Linked DNA regions of Caenorhabditis elegans. The protein of the gene in region 2 purifies or fractionates together with the protein of the main gene of each other region. This does not show direct contact. Each region holds a gene or a part of one and is shown on either strand. Other genes may lie near its edges.

Evidence for each region.
Region 1: the proteins of cisd-3.2 (region 2) and nuo-5 fractionate together in Caenorhabditis elegans (co-fractionation; one large-scale study listed by BioGRID). This does not show direct contact.

Annotation. Positions count from the first base shown.
Region 1 is NC_003283.11:2,695,751-2,702,669, reverse strand, and holds the start of nuo-5 (NADH-ubiquinone oxidoreductase 75 kDa subunit, mitochondrial), read right to left. Parts: upstream 3,699-6,919; 5' UTR 3,693-3,698; coding exon 3,600-3,692; intron 2,396-3,599; coding exon 1,643-2,395; intron 1-1,642. Other genes in the region: Y45G12B.2 (Zinc finger protein-like 1 homolog), read right to left, coding at 4,090-4,212, 5,217-5,520, 6,367-6,655.
Region 2 is NC_003281.10:1,538,093-1,545,406, reverse strand, and holds cisd-3.2 (Iron-binding zinc finger CDGSH type domain-containing protein), read right to left. Parts: upstream 4,915-7,314; 5' UTR 4,902-4,914; coding exon 4,857-4,901; intron 4,690-4,856; coding exon 4,528-4,689; intron 3,482-4,527; coding exon 3,338-3,481; intron 2,223-3,337; coding exon 2,103-2,222; 3' UTR 1,959-2,102; downstream 1-1,958. Other genes in the region: ddx-35 (putative ATP-dependent RNA helicase DHX35 homolog), read left to right, coding at 198-372; Y67D2.5 (N-acetyltransferase 9-like protein), read left to right, coding at 5,208-5,438, 5,808-5,981, 6,694-6,897; mtg-1 (CP-type G domain-containing protein), read right to left, coding at 7,279-7,314.

The DNA.
Region 1 (6,919 bases), on a different chromosome or scaffold from region 2:
TTTTTAACGGAAAAATCGCATTTATTTTAAGAAATTTTTTTTCGATTTGTAGCAACTCGAAAAAGTGAAATTTTCCGATTTTCCAGATTCAATTTTTGTTTTTGCAAAAAAACGGAAAAAAAAATTCGCATTTTCGAATTTTTCTGACATTTTTTCGGTTTTTTTTCGTTTTTTTTGTCGGAGCACTACGGAATCGAAATTTTCCGGTAAATTTTGAAACAACACCTTAAAAAACAGGGATTCGTAAAAATCAAAAAATTTTCTGTATTTCAAGGAAAAAATTTAATTTTCGTAAAATAGCTGAAAATGTGGCCATTTTTCATCTTTTTTTCGAAGAATATTGTAAGTTTTTTATTTTAATATCGAAAATTCTTAGTTTTCGAATTGTTATATACCTAAATTTGAAAATTTGAAAAAAAATAGTTTTTTTCCCCGGAAATACAAAAAGTAACATTTTTTCTCTGAAAAAATCGATAAAAAATCAGTTTTTTGCTCATTTTTAAAGTCTAGTCGTTTGAAAATTTTCTGAGCTCTGTTTCGCATTGGGAAAATTTGGTAATTTTCCACTTTTTTGAAGAAAATTATGTTTTTTCTTTTGAAATTCGATATTTTTCGATTTTCTCTGGAAAAAAATCGGAAAAAAAAATTGAAAGTTGTATAATAGTTCGGAAAAAAATTTTCCGGCAAATATCTACTTTAAATGAATTTATTTATCGAAAATAAGCTTTTTAAGTTATTTTCAGAAAATTAGATTTTTTTTTTGATTTTCTCTGAAAAAAAAATCGATTTTTACCGATAACAGCTCAAAAAGCATTAAAAATTCATAAAAAGTAAAATGTTGCCGAACAATTTTTTATTCCAAACCAGGGGTGTGCGGCAAATTTGCCGATTTGCCGAAAATTGCCGACTTGCCGAATTCGGCAAATTTAAAAAAACCAGCAATTGCCGATTTGCCGAGCTCGGCAATTTTCAAAAAAGTAGATTTTCCGAATTTGCCGAGCTCGGCAAATTTCGAAATTTGCCGCACACGTGAAAAATTTGACAGTACAATTTTGAATAAAACTATTGATTTTTTAGCCAAAAATTTAGTAAAATGACACAAAATTGAGCTATTTTGATGCTTAAACAGACATACTACGCGGAACTTATTCAGAAACCAGATGTGTGTTAAGAATTCAGTAGTTTTGGTGCTCCACAAAACATAAAAAATATCAAATTTTTCCGAGTTTGTTAAGCACGGCAAATTTGCCGAATTTGCCGAATTTGCCGAGCTCTGCAAATTTGCCGAATTTGCCGTGCTCGGCAAATATTGAAAAAAGAGATTTGCCGAATTTGCCGAGCTCGGCAAATTTTGAAAAACCAGCAATTGCCGATTTGCCGAGCTCGGCAATTTTTTCCATTTGCCGCACACCCCTGTTCCAAACTAGACTACACAATTTTCAACTTTTTAATTATCAAAATTCAAAAAATCTGTAAATTTTCGATTTTTTTCAGAGAAAATTGAAAAATATCGATTTTTTCTCCAAAAAAAGTGAAAAATGGCCAAAAATACAATTTTTTTTTCGACATTCGAAAAATATCGATTCTTCTTCAAAATTTTCAAAGCTATGTCTTCCAAAAAATTCGTTTCAAAACTCCGTACATCGTTGATTTTCGGAATAACCCGCAGAAGCTCGCCAGTCCGATGCGAAAGCACAATATTCGATCCGGTCGCATCCATCACATCAACACTTTCAGTCTTTCTAGTCTCCCAGGGCCGGGCCGTAAACGCGTACTGCTTGCTGGTAAGAGCTCCGACCGGACAAATATCGATAATATTCCCAGAGAGCTCTGAAGCAAAAAATTTCTCGACGTAGGTGCCAATTTGAAGATCTTGTCCTCGTCCGGTGGTGCCGAAATCCGGAAAAGCGGCCACTTCATTAGCGAATCGGACACATCGAGTACACTGAATACATCGAGTCATCACAGTTTTCACCAACGGCCCGATATTCTTATCCTCGAGAGCCCGTTTTCCATCGAATCTCGACTGAAGCCGCCCACGATCGGATCCGAAATTCATCGCCTGATCCTGTAGATCACATTCGCCACCTTGATCACAAATCGGGCAGTCGAGTGGATGGTTGTTGAGCATGAACTCCATCACCCCTTCGCGAGCTTTTTTCACGAAATCCGAGTTGGTTTTGACTTTCATTCCGTTCATGACAGGCATCGCACATGATGCGACAGGCTTCACCGACTTCTCCACCTCTACCAGACACATTCGGCAGTTTCCGGCAATTGAGAGACGGTCGTGATAGCAGAAGCGTGGGATGTCGACGCCGACGAGCGCGCACGCTTGGAGAATCGTCATTCCCGGGTCGACGAGCACTTTTTTGTCGTCGATGAAGACTTCGACCTGGAAGAAAATGAGGTGATTTTTAGTGGTTTTTTTGTTGATTTTTACAGGGAAAATCGAAAAATTTCGATTTTTTTTATTTGAAAATCGAAAAAAAATTTTTTTTTTAAGTTTTTTGTTTTCGGAAAATGGAAGAAATTTGTTTCGTTTTTTTTTTTTTTTAATTGAAAAAAATGTTGGGTTTTTAGGTTCCGGAAAATCGAAAAATATATATTTACGATATATTTTTAAAAATTGAAAAAAAAACGAATTTTCGATTTTTTACAGGAAAAATCATCGAAAAAATTCTGATTTTTTGAACTGAAAGCTAAATTTTTAGATTTTTTACAGGAAAATTAGATTTTTTAAAATTGAAAAACGTAATTTTTCGATTTTTTTTTAATTGAAAAACGTGCTTTTTTCATTTTATGTTTTTTTTGTTGATAAATTTAAAAACGAAATGTTTCGATCATTTTAATTGAAAAAAAAAATTAGATTTTTTACAGGAAAAATCGAATAATTTTTATTTTTTTGTAAAAAAAATTGTCAGAGAAAATCGAGCATTTAAAAAAAAATTCGATGTTTACAGGAAAAATCGAAAAAATTCCGATTTTTGAACCGAAAAACTAAATTTTTGATTTTTTTACAGGAAATAACGATTTTTTTTTCAATTGAAAAACGAAGAAATTTAGATTTTTGTTTAAATTAAATAACGTACTTTTTCGATTTGTTCTTTTTTCGGAAATTAAAAAAACTAAATTTTCCGTTTTTTAAAGGAAAAATCTAAAAATTTTTGATTTTTCGAACCGAAAAACGGAATTTTTCGATTTTTTTAATTGAAAAACGAAAACATTTTTGATTTTAGTAAAACATCATTGCACCATGTATTTTGTAAAATTTTCAATTAATAATTAGTGCCAAAATATAGAAAATCACTCGATTCATCGAGAAAATCACATTAATTTCGGATGAAACAGTTGAGAAAAAGCTCAAAACTGTCTTTTTGAGCGCTTTCTCCAACATTTCAGCTAAAATCAAAGTGATTTTCCGATAAATCGAGCGATTTTCTATATTCTGGCACTAATTTTAAATGGAAAATGATGGAAAATTGGAGATTGTAGATGAAATTAAGCTTTTTTTTTGAATTTCTCGCTAGTTAATTCGTTATTTTTTTGCCAAATCCATTTTTCTTCAATTTTTCCGCCGAAAATTCCAGTTTTTTCACCTTTTTCGGTGGAGCCGGAGCCGCCACCGAAAGCGATCTCTTCTGTTGAGCCTTCGACACTCCGCGGACAATTTGTCCACCGACGCGATGCATGGTGCTCTGAAATTGCAATTACTTCCTGAAATTTTTTCCGAAAAATTGAGAGAAAATAAATATAAATCTCGGTAGAAAATTAACCGAATTTCAATTTTTAGAGGAAAAAAAATCAATAAATACCATTTAAACCACCGAATATACAAGAAATAGGGCAAAAAAAAAGAATAAATAATTAATAATTAATTACAACCAAGTTTTAGCTAGTTTTAGCTAGTTTTTAGCGAAAAAAATCGAAAAAAATCAGAAAAAATCCCGTTTGTTAGCATCATTAGCAGGCGAAAGTAAAAATAAAAAATTTTTCGAAAAACTTTTTTTTTCGTTGGGGAATGAGTAGACATTGAATATTACACAGAAAGGGAAGGATATGCACATTTTTTTCAAAAAAAAAAATTTTTTAGACGTGTGGAAGACGAGAATCTTCGACGGCGACGCGAATATTCGGATTGGCCATTGGATCGAAAAGGGGGTCCGATGAGTGCTCGCCGCTGTATCCGGCACGCTTCATCACCATTATAATCTGGAAAAATACAATTTATTTGGAATTAAATGAAGTTAGAATCTAAATTTGCTTGATAAGACTCATAAACACTCAAAATTTGCTTAAAAAGCCATAAAATTCGCTCAAAAATACTCAAAATTCACTCAAAAAAAGTCAAACTTTGATCAAAAAGCCTTAACATTTCCTTCAAAAATACTCAAAAATTGCTCTAAAATACTCAAAAAATTGCTCAAAAAGACAATAAATTTGCTCAAAAAGCCTTAAAATTTGATCAAAATGACTCAAAATTTGCGAAATTTGATTAAAAACACTCAAAATTTGCTCAAAAAGCTCAAAATTCGCTTAAAAATACTCAAAATCGCTCAATTTTAGCTAAAATACACCAATTTCGCCGACTTTTCCGTGTCGCAGCGGTCGGAAATTGACTTATATTTTATTTTCATGAAATTTCATCGTTTATTTTATATTTTTATTGTTTATTACACATTTTTTCGCTATTTAATGTACATTTTAAGCCACACGGCAGACGTTGAGCGCAAAAAATTGTGGGCGGGGTCTGGACCGCAATTCTGCGGCGCGCGATTTCGCAACTCCGCCGCGCTGTTTTTTTGTCAGTCGAAATTTTTTTTTCATGAGATTTTATCGAAATATCTCGAAAAAATCACGATATACTGGAAATTTTATTCGAAAAATGCGAAAAAAAACTTAAAAACTTGTAAAAAATAGTCGCGCGGTGGAGTTGCGAAACATCGCGCCGCAGGATTGCGGTTTAGGCTCCGCCCTCACGTCGTTTTCGGTTTATATGCTTCAAATGTACACTAAATAACGAAAAAAACGTGAGAAAAACGATAAAAATTGAAAATAAACTGTGATAAAATCAAATAAAAGCGAATTTCCGACAGATGCAACACGGAAAAGTCGGCGAAATTGATGTATTTTAGCTAAAATTAGGCCATTTTTTCAGGGAAAAAATATTTTTTTGGCGTTTTTGAGTCTATAAAAGTCGCTTTTTAAAATCCAACCGTAATCAAAGCCAAAACGGCCAGGAAAATCACGAAAAGCGCGATTTTTTTCGCGGAAGCCCGTTCCTGTGGGACCCCGGAGCCGCCATGTTTTGCTCTCCAGAGCCCGCGCATCCAATCCATCGTCGGGCGCCGTTTATATTTATTCTCCTCGTTATCGGCGTCACGGAGCTGTAAAAGTGGACGAGTATCGCTTGAAGATTCGGCTCCGTAGTTCTTTTTTCGCGCAAAAGTGACGTCATTGTTGGAGACCGAGTAGGAAGCGGTGTCTTCCATTTCCAGATGGGTTGCGGGGGTGGAGGATCTGGAAAAAAATTAGAAATTTTGGGAAATTGCAAAAAAAAATGGGCCTTTCTTCAGACTTAGGTTTCTTTTTTTCGTTTTTTTTTCAAATTTTAACTTTAAAATTGGATTTTCTAACACTTTTTCACATAGAAAACGGCTTTTTACGTCGTAAATTGGCCTAAAATGCATTTTTATGTAGTTTAAACGATAAAAAATGAGAAAAAACGTGAGAAAATCGATTTTTAAGTTAAAATTTCGAAAAAAGACCCATTTTTTCGAATTTTTGAGCGGTTTTTTCGCGAAATTCGGTCATATTCACCTATTATTGTGAACTGGCGCCTCTTTGTGCATAACTGCTCAAAATTTGCTTCAAATTTTTCGAAATTAGTTCGAAAATGCTCGAAATTTGCTCAAAAATGTTTAAGATTTGCTCTAAAAAGCTCGAAATTTGCTCAAAAAACTCGAAACTTCCTCTAAAATGCTCTAAACATGCACTAACAAACTCAAAATTTGCTCAAAAATGCTAAAAACTTGATTAAAAAGCTAAAAATTGGCTCAAAAACTCAAAAATTATTCGAAAAACTGAGCATTTGCTTAAAAGGACTCGAAAGCCGCTCAAAATTCGCTCAAAAAAACTCAAAATTTGCTCGAAAACGTCGAAAATTGGCCTAAAATGCATTTTTTTTAAAATGTAGTTTAAACAATAATACTACGGAAAAACGAAGAAAAACTTCGAATTTTAGGTTAAAAAATCGAAAAAAGGCTCATTTTTTCGAAATTTTTCGCAATTTTTTAGTTAAAAATTCGAAAAAAGGTCTTTTGAACCGTTTTTTCGCAAAATTCGTTCATTTTAGCTAATATTCACCTATTATTGTGCACCGGGACCTCTTTATGCATAACTGGAGCATTTTTCAGCTGTGGCGGCGCCGGAGAAGGCACTGGCCGATTGAGTTCCGGAAGAGTCGGGAGCCCGAGCGCTGCTCTTGCCCAGTTGGACTGTTTCAGTTGCTCGCGGAGCTTCTCGATGAGTGGAGAGACTTCATTGATCGGTGGGAAGACTTCCTGACTGCAGCACGGGCATCGATAGCCGGCCGGGGCGGTCGTGGCCGGGAAATTTGCCGCCCACTCGTCGAAGCATTTCCAGTGGAGGAGATCTGTAAGAAAATTGGATTTTTTTTTGCACTAAAAATCGATATTTTTGAATATTTATTGCGTACCACCGCGGCCTTCTGGAGTGTTCATAATTATTAGAGCGCGCTCGCGCGGCACCTCACGATCTCCGGAATTCGCGGGGAATTCGTTCCAGCAGTTTTTGGCTATTTTTGGCTTCTATGGAAATTATTTTTAATTTTTTAATTGATATTATTGTTGAGAAGCACCATCCGAATTGAAAATGTGTAAAATTATGAAATTTCACC
Region 2 (7,314 bases):
TGCCCTGATTCCGTCACTTTTCATATTTTGGGTCCCGCCACGCGGGTTACTGTAGCACCGATTTCAGCTGTGTCGGTGGGTCAAGTTGAACGGAATATGGGCATGTTGGGGGTCAAATTGAAGCTGGGAGCGTGGAAAATTCAAATTTTTGATTAAAAAATCATTTTTCGATGAAAAAAAAAAGTTTTTTTTTTCAGGGTAATCTTCACCGAAGTGATGCAGGATTCGATCCGTGACGTCACAGTTATTGAGCCTGAATGGCTTTACGAATTGGCTCCACACTATTACGAATTTGGCACCGAAGGAGAGCTCGCCGAGAAGAGAATGAGGGGTCCTGCTGCCACCTCCGCCGCCGCTGACGATGATTATTAATTCGAATTTTTTAAAATTTTATTTATTATTGATTTTTTAAGTGTGTGTTGTTGGTTGAAATATTGATGAAAAACTGAAAAAACTAAAAAATTTTCCGAAAAAATCAATATTTTTGCAGAAAAAAACCAAAAAAAAAATTTTTTTTTTCGAAATTTTCTGAAAAATTCGAATTTTCAGGTTACTGTAGCCCCCCAAAAGTCTGGAAAAATGAGAAATTTTCGAATTTTTCAGTTCAAAAATCAATTATTTGCAAAATTTCTCAAATTATCGATTTTTTGATACGAAAAATTCGGTTTTTTTTAGGAAACTCCAAATTCTTCGGGTTACTGTAGCTCGAAAAGTACGCAAACACCGAAAAATTGCCCACTTTTCGATTTTTCGGCACAAAAATCGTAGTTTTTTCAGAAAACCAATACAAAAATTCCATTTTTCGCATTTTTTAAAGTTCAGAACTTCGAATTTTCAAATTTCCCGGGGGTTACTGTAGCCCCAAAAGTACGCAAAATACGATTAATTTGAATTTTTGCAGTTTAAAATGTGAAAAATTGGAAAATTTCAAATTTTTCGGTACAAAGATCGATAATTTCACAAATTATCGATTTTTTATGCGAAAAGTTCGAATTTTTCGGGTTACTGTAGCTCCAAAAGTACGCAAACACCGAAAAATCTAAAAATTATCGATTTTTGATCCGAAAAAAAGATTTTCAACAGATTTGAACCACTTTTCCGGAAATTTCTAAAATTTTCCGGTTACTGTAGCTGGAACAGTACGCGAGCACCGAAAATTCCAAAACGTTTCATTTTTCGGTACAAAAATCGATAATTTTTGTAATTTCTCGGTGTTTGCGTACTTTTCAATCTACAGTAACCCGAAAATTGAAAAAAAATTGAATTTTCGGTCGAAAAATCAATATTTTTGAAATTCTGATATTCTAGGGGGTACTGTAGCTCCGAAAGTACGCAAACACCGAAATATTGCCAAATTTTCGGTTTTTTCAGTACAAAAATCGAAATTTTTCAGAAAACCAATACAAATATTCCATTTTTCGCATATTTTTAAAGTTCAGAACTCGAAAATTCGAATTTTCAAATTTCCCGGGGGTTACTGTAGCCCCAAAAGTACTACGCAAAATACGATAAAGTTGAATTTTTGCAGTTCAAAACCTGAAAATATTGGAAATTTTTGTTTTTTCGTTTCTAAAATCGATATTTTCCGAAATTATCGATTTTTGAACCGAAAAATCGATAATTTTTGGATTATTTCTCAGTGTTTGCGTACTTTTCCAGCAGCTACAGTAACCCGGGAAATTAAAAAATATGAACTTCTAGGGGGGACTGTACCTTGAAAAGTACGCAAAACCCTGGAAATTCCAAAAATTTTCGTGTTTTTTTCTGTTCAAAAATCGATAATTGCCAAAAATTATCGATTTTTAGTCGAAAAAAAAATCGATTTTCCTGAAAATTAGGGGGGGTACTGTACCTCGAAAAGTACGCAAACACCGAAAAAATCGAAAATTATCGACTTTCCGGTAATAAAATCGATTTTTTCCGAAATTATCGATTTCTTTGCACCAGAAAAATCGATTTTTCACTTAAAAATTACTTTATTCACACATTAAAAATCGGGAAAAAACCCCTAAAAAATTTTTTCCAATAAAAAAAAATCTACTGCTTTCAGTTTTTCTGGTACTTTTTTTGATTTCGGCTGCTGTCTCAGCGTAGTCTCCGGACTACTGGAATCCACCATTTTTCGGCTTATATCCCAATTTTTGAGCAACTCCTGCGTAAACTGGCGATTCGTCGAATGCAACCATTCTCGTAGCGTTTAGATCACGTGGAGCTTTGGATACCTGAAAAAATTGGGATTTTTGGCTGAAAATTGAGGTTTTTAGGGTAAAAATCATAAAAATTCATGATTTTTCAGCCAAAATTAGTGAAAATTGAATTTTTTATAAATTTTATGATAATTCCCGTTAAATTCGCAATTTTTGAGCTAAAAATTTGGATTTTTGGCTGAAAATTGGCGTTTTAAAACAAAAATCATAAAAATTCATGATTTTTTAGCCAAAATTAGTGAAAATTGAATTTTTTATAATTTTATGATAATTCCCGTTAAATTCGCAATTTTTGAGCTAAAATTCTGGATTTTGGTTGAAAAATGACGTTTTTACGTTAAAAATCTGAAAATTTCGTGGTTTTTGAGATAAAATTAGTAAGAAATCGACATTTTTAAGCTGAAAAATCAATTTTTCATGAATTTTATGATATTTTCCGTTAAATTGACAATTTTTGAGCAAAAAAGTGGCTTTTTGGCTGAAAAATGACATTTTTAAGTGAAAAATCTGGAAATTTCATGATTTTTGGGACAAAGTAAGTGAAAATCGATAATTTTGAGCCAAAAACTCAGTTTTTCATGAATTTAATGATTTTCTTGGTAAAATTCACAATTTTTTCAGCTAAAAATTGGCTTTTGGCTGGAAATTGGCATTTTATGCCGTTTTTAGGTCGAAAATGTGGAAATTTCATGATTTTTGAGCAAATGTGAGTGAAAAATCGATTTTTTAAGCCAAAAATTTAGTTTTTCATGAATTTATTGGACTCTTCCGTTAAATTCCATAATTTTTGAGCTAAAAATTGGATTTTGACTGAAATTTTGTGGCAAATCACGATTTTTTTTTTTGAAAAATTGCCATTTTTAGGTCAAAAATCCTGAAATTTCATGATTTTAGTGGCGAATTTTGTGGAAAATTGAATTTTCTTGAAGTTTCATGGGTTTTTTGGCGGAAAATTGATTTTCTGACGAATTTATTTAAAAATTGGATTTTTTTGGTCAAAACAAGCAGAATTTGCATAATTTTGAGCCAAATTTCATTAAAATGGGATTTTTCCAGTTTTTATCTCAAATTTTGCGAGAAATTCGATTTTTAGGTGAAAATCTTCGAAATTTTCCCCATTTTCCCCGTACATCAGCGTGTTTTCCATCGCAAATTGGTCGAGTTCCAGTCTGTTTGCAGTCACACATTGGATAAATTCCAGTTTTTTCAACTTGAAAACTGACGGGGCGAACGTTGGTTAATCCGGGCGTTTTGTGGGTTCCGTCGCAGAATGGCTGCAAAAAATTTTTGGATTTTTCAGGAATTTTCCGGTTTTTTAAGGCATTTTTCAGTGTTAAAATCGTCGTCGAATTTCACACGCCTAGCACCCTTTTTCTGGGTCTCTAGATTTAAATTTGAATTTCGAGGGGTACGGTAGTCCCAAAAGTACGCAAACACCGAGTGCCTTGCGTACTTGGCACCGAACTTTACGACAATTAGTCTAAATTGACTGAAAATCGGGTTAGGGGGGGAAAATGTGATGGAGAACTCGAATTTTGTACTGAAAATGTGTGAAAATGTGTGAAAATCATTGAAAATTTGGGCATAGCTTCCGCATGTCCGAGTGACAAATGTGCTCTATTGCCAAATTGTTGGCAGAAATACGGTATTTATTCACATTTTCAGCCAATTTAAGACTGAAAATGTGAATAAACACAGTATTTATGCCAGAAATCTGAGAAACGCACAAGTCACAGGGGAATTATCGATTTTTAGAAGATTTTTCGTTTTCAGATTGGTGGCCTAGAAATCCCAAAAGTTAGGCCGCCAATCTATTTTGAGCGAAAAAACCAATTTCTAGGGGTAAAAATGAGTGAAAAACTTAATTTTTAACTGAAAATTTGGGCAAAATCACTAGAAATGTGATTAAAAATATTTAAACGCGAAAAATGACCGGAATTCTAATTTTAGGGCAAAATTCGTTAATTATAGCTGCAATAACCAAATTTTTGAGCAGAAAATCGCAAAAAATCTTTATTTCCAGCGTTTTTCGTAACAAAAATAGACCGTCTGAGCTTTTTCCGGGAAAATTAGGGTAATTTTCGAAAAATGTTGGATTTTTCTAGAATATTGATTAAAATTTGAGCAAAAATGAGCTTTTTTTGTAATTTTTTCACTAGCATTCACGTTTAACAAAATTTTGGGTTTCATCACGACTTTAAAGGCACATAGGCGCCATTTTAAGCCTAAAATAGCTAAATTTTATCAATTTTCCGCGATTTTTTCGGCATTTTAGCTGTTTTTCGACGATTTCCATGAGAAAATGCTCGAAAATAAGCACCTGAGTGATGCTCAACCCGCATGAGCACCAATGATACGTTTTTCCGGCTTCAAGCTTCACACGATTCGACTTTGTGCCTGCTGGCTGCCCTTTGTACGGCAAAACGTCTGCAGAATAGCTTTGAACAACGACGCCACGTGCTTTTCCACGAATCGATGATTGCTGGAAATTTTGAAATTTTTTTCAGTGATTTTTCGCGGAAATTGGTGAAAATCTGGCAAAAATCGGGATTTTTTCGCAGAAAAAAAAATTTCAGCGATTTTGATTGATTTTCCACGACTTTTCCAGCTTTTTCAGTCGAAATTGACAATTTTCCACTAATAACTCACAATCGGCGCGGCTGCCTGAAGCTTTTGGCACGTTCTTCCGAGCATGGCTCAATTCGACCTGAAAATCGAGGTTTTTGAGGTGAAAAATAGGTTTTTAATGGATTTTCGCATACAAATTCATGATTTTTCAATATTTTAAGCGAAAAAATCGTGAAAAACCACGGATTTTCAGAGGAAAATCACTAAAAATGGCTGAAAACAAATTTGCCCGTGGAGCGAGCAAGCGCGCTCCAGTGAGAAACAGTTGGGATTTCTAGGCCGCGGCCACGGGAATTTATATAATTTTTTTCATTTTCCGGCGTTTTTACATGATTTTCCTCGAATTTCTCGCATTTTTCGATATTCCAGGCAATGAAACTCAATTCCAACGTGAAAATCGTCGCAAAAAAGTGCATTTTAGTGCCGTACGAGCCGTGCCACGTTGCAAAATACCACAAATGGATGGAAAACGAGGAGATTCGCCGACTCACCGGCTCTGAACAATTGTCGTTGGATGAGGAATATGAAATGCAGAAAACTTGGCGAAATGATGAGGATAAACTAACGTTTATCGTTCTTGAAATGAATGAAAGTGGAGAAGAAGTAGGGATTTTTCAGGAAAACCCCGTTTTTTTCAAGTTTTTGCCTCCAAAAATTTGAAATTCACGGGCTCAGAACCGTTTTGAATTAAAAATAGACCAAAAAATTGGGAAAATAGCATTATAACCACTCGAAAATCGACTTTTCCGCCAAAAACTACGACACTCCTAGTACGCCACAGCGCGTGTTGTTTAGCGCTGGTCACCCGCGAATTCAAATTTTTGACTTAAAATTGGGGTTTTTTACACTTTTTTGCCGATTTCAATGTGAAAAATCACTAAAAATTCTGTTTTTATCAAAAATTTTTGCATTTTCGAAAAGAAAAGTGTGTTTTTTTCCGATTTTTTTTTTGGAAATTTTCCGAAATTTCAGGTAGATCACATGCTTGGCGATGTGAATTTGTTCATTTCCACGTCACCGTCCACTGAAAACCCTAGCGATGACGTCATCACTGGTGAGGTAGAGGTTATGATAGCGGAGCCACGTGGCAGAGGAAAAGGCATTGGAGAGGAGGCTGTGAGGGTTATTATTGCGTGGGCGTATGAGGTAAAATACTTTTTTTCTTCTAAAAAAAAGTTTTTGTTGGATGTAAAAGTTGAAAAAAAAATTTTGAAAAAAAATTCTGAAACAATTTTTTTTTTCAGAATTTTTTTTGTCAAATTTCTCCTAACTAATTTCTTTTATAAAAATTCGAGTTCTCCTCACTCCCAGCTTCAAAATGACCCCCCATCACGCACTGGTTCCGCGTAGTTTGAAAATTTTAGGTCTCGCCACGCGGGTTACTGTAGCACCGATATCAGCTGTGTCGGTGGGAAAAATGCGCGGAACATAGGCTTGTAGGGGTCAATTTAAAGCTGGTGACGTGGAGAATATGAATTTTAACATGATTTTTGACAGTTTTGAAAATTAAAAAAATTTTAGTTCGAAAAAAAATTGAATTTTTTTTTGTTTTTCAGAAAAATTTTATTCTTCAAAATTTCTCGATTTTGAGCTGAAATTCGAGTTCTCCACACTTTCAGCGTCAAAATGACCCCCATCATGTCCTGGTTCCGCGCAATTTGAAAATTTTGGGTCTCGCCACGCGGGTTACTGTAGCACCGATATCAGCTGTGTCGGTTGTCAAATTGAACGGAATATGGTCGTGTTGGGGGTCATTTTGAAGCTGAAAATGAGGAGAATAAGAATTTTGACATGGTTTTTGACAGTTTTGAAAAATGAGCAAAAAAAATATTTTTTTCGAAAATTTTCAATTTTTCAGAATCTGAAAATCGAGCAATTCTGCGTAAAAATTACCGATGACAACACACCAAGCCTGAGCCTATTCAAGAAGAAACTAGGATTCAAACAAATCGGCTATAGCACTGCTTTCAAGGAATTCACATTTGAATTGCCGAAAAATCGATTGATTTCTGAATTTTCGAGTTTTTTGGAGAAAAATGCAGAAATTAAGGAGTATAAATAATTATTTGTGTACTTTTACATTGAAAATAAATGTTTTTCAAAAAAAAAAAATTTTTTGTAAAAATTTTTTTCACTATATTTTTTACAAAATTCCAAAATTCTGTGTTCAGAAGCTTTTTTTAATGCAAAATATATCAAAAAATTGAGATAAAAGCCTTAAAACCACTCGATAATCCAATTTTCCGCCAAAAACTACGACACTCCGCTAGTACGCCACAGCGCGTGTTGTTTAGCAGCCCGGGAATTCAAATTTTTTACTTACAATTGAGGTTTTATCCCGTTTTTTGCCGATTTTAATGGGGAAAAATCATTAAAAATGCAGTTTTTATCAAATATTTCTAAAAATAACAACAAAAAACATGAAAAATCAACGAAAAATCTCCTAATTTCGATACAAAAAATGCTCATTATCGAGGCA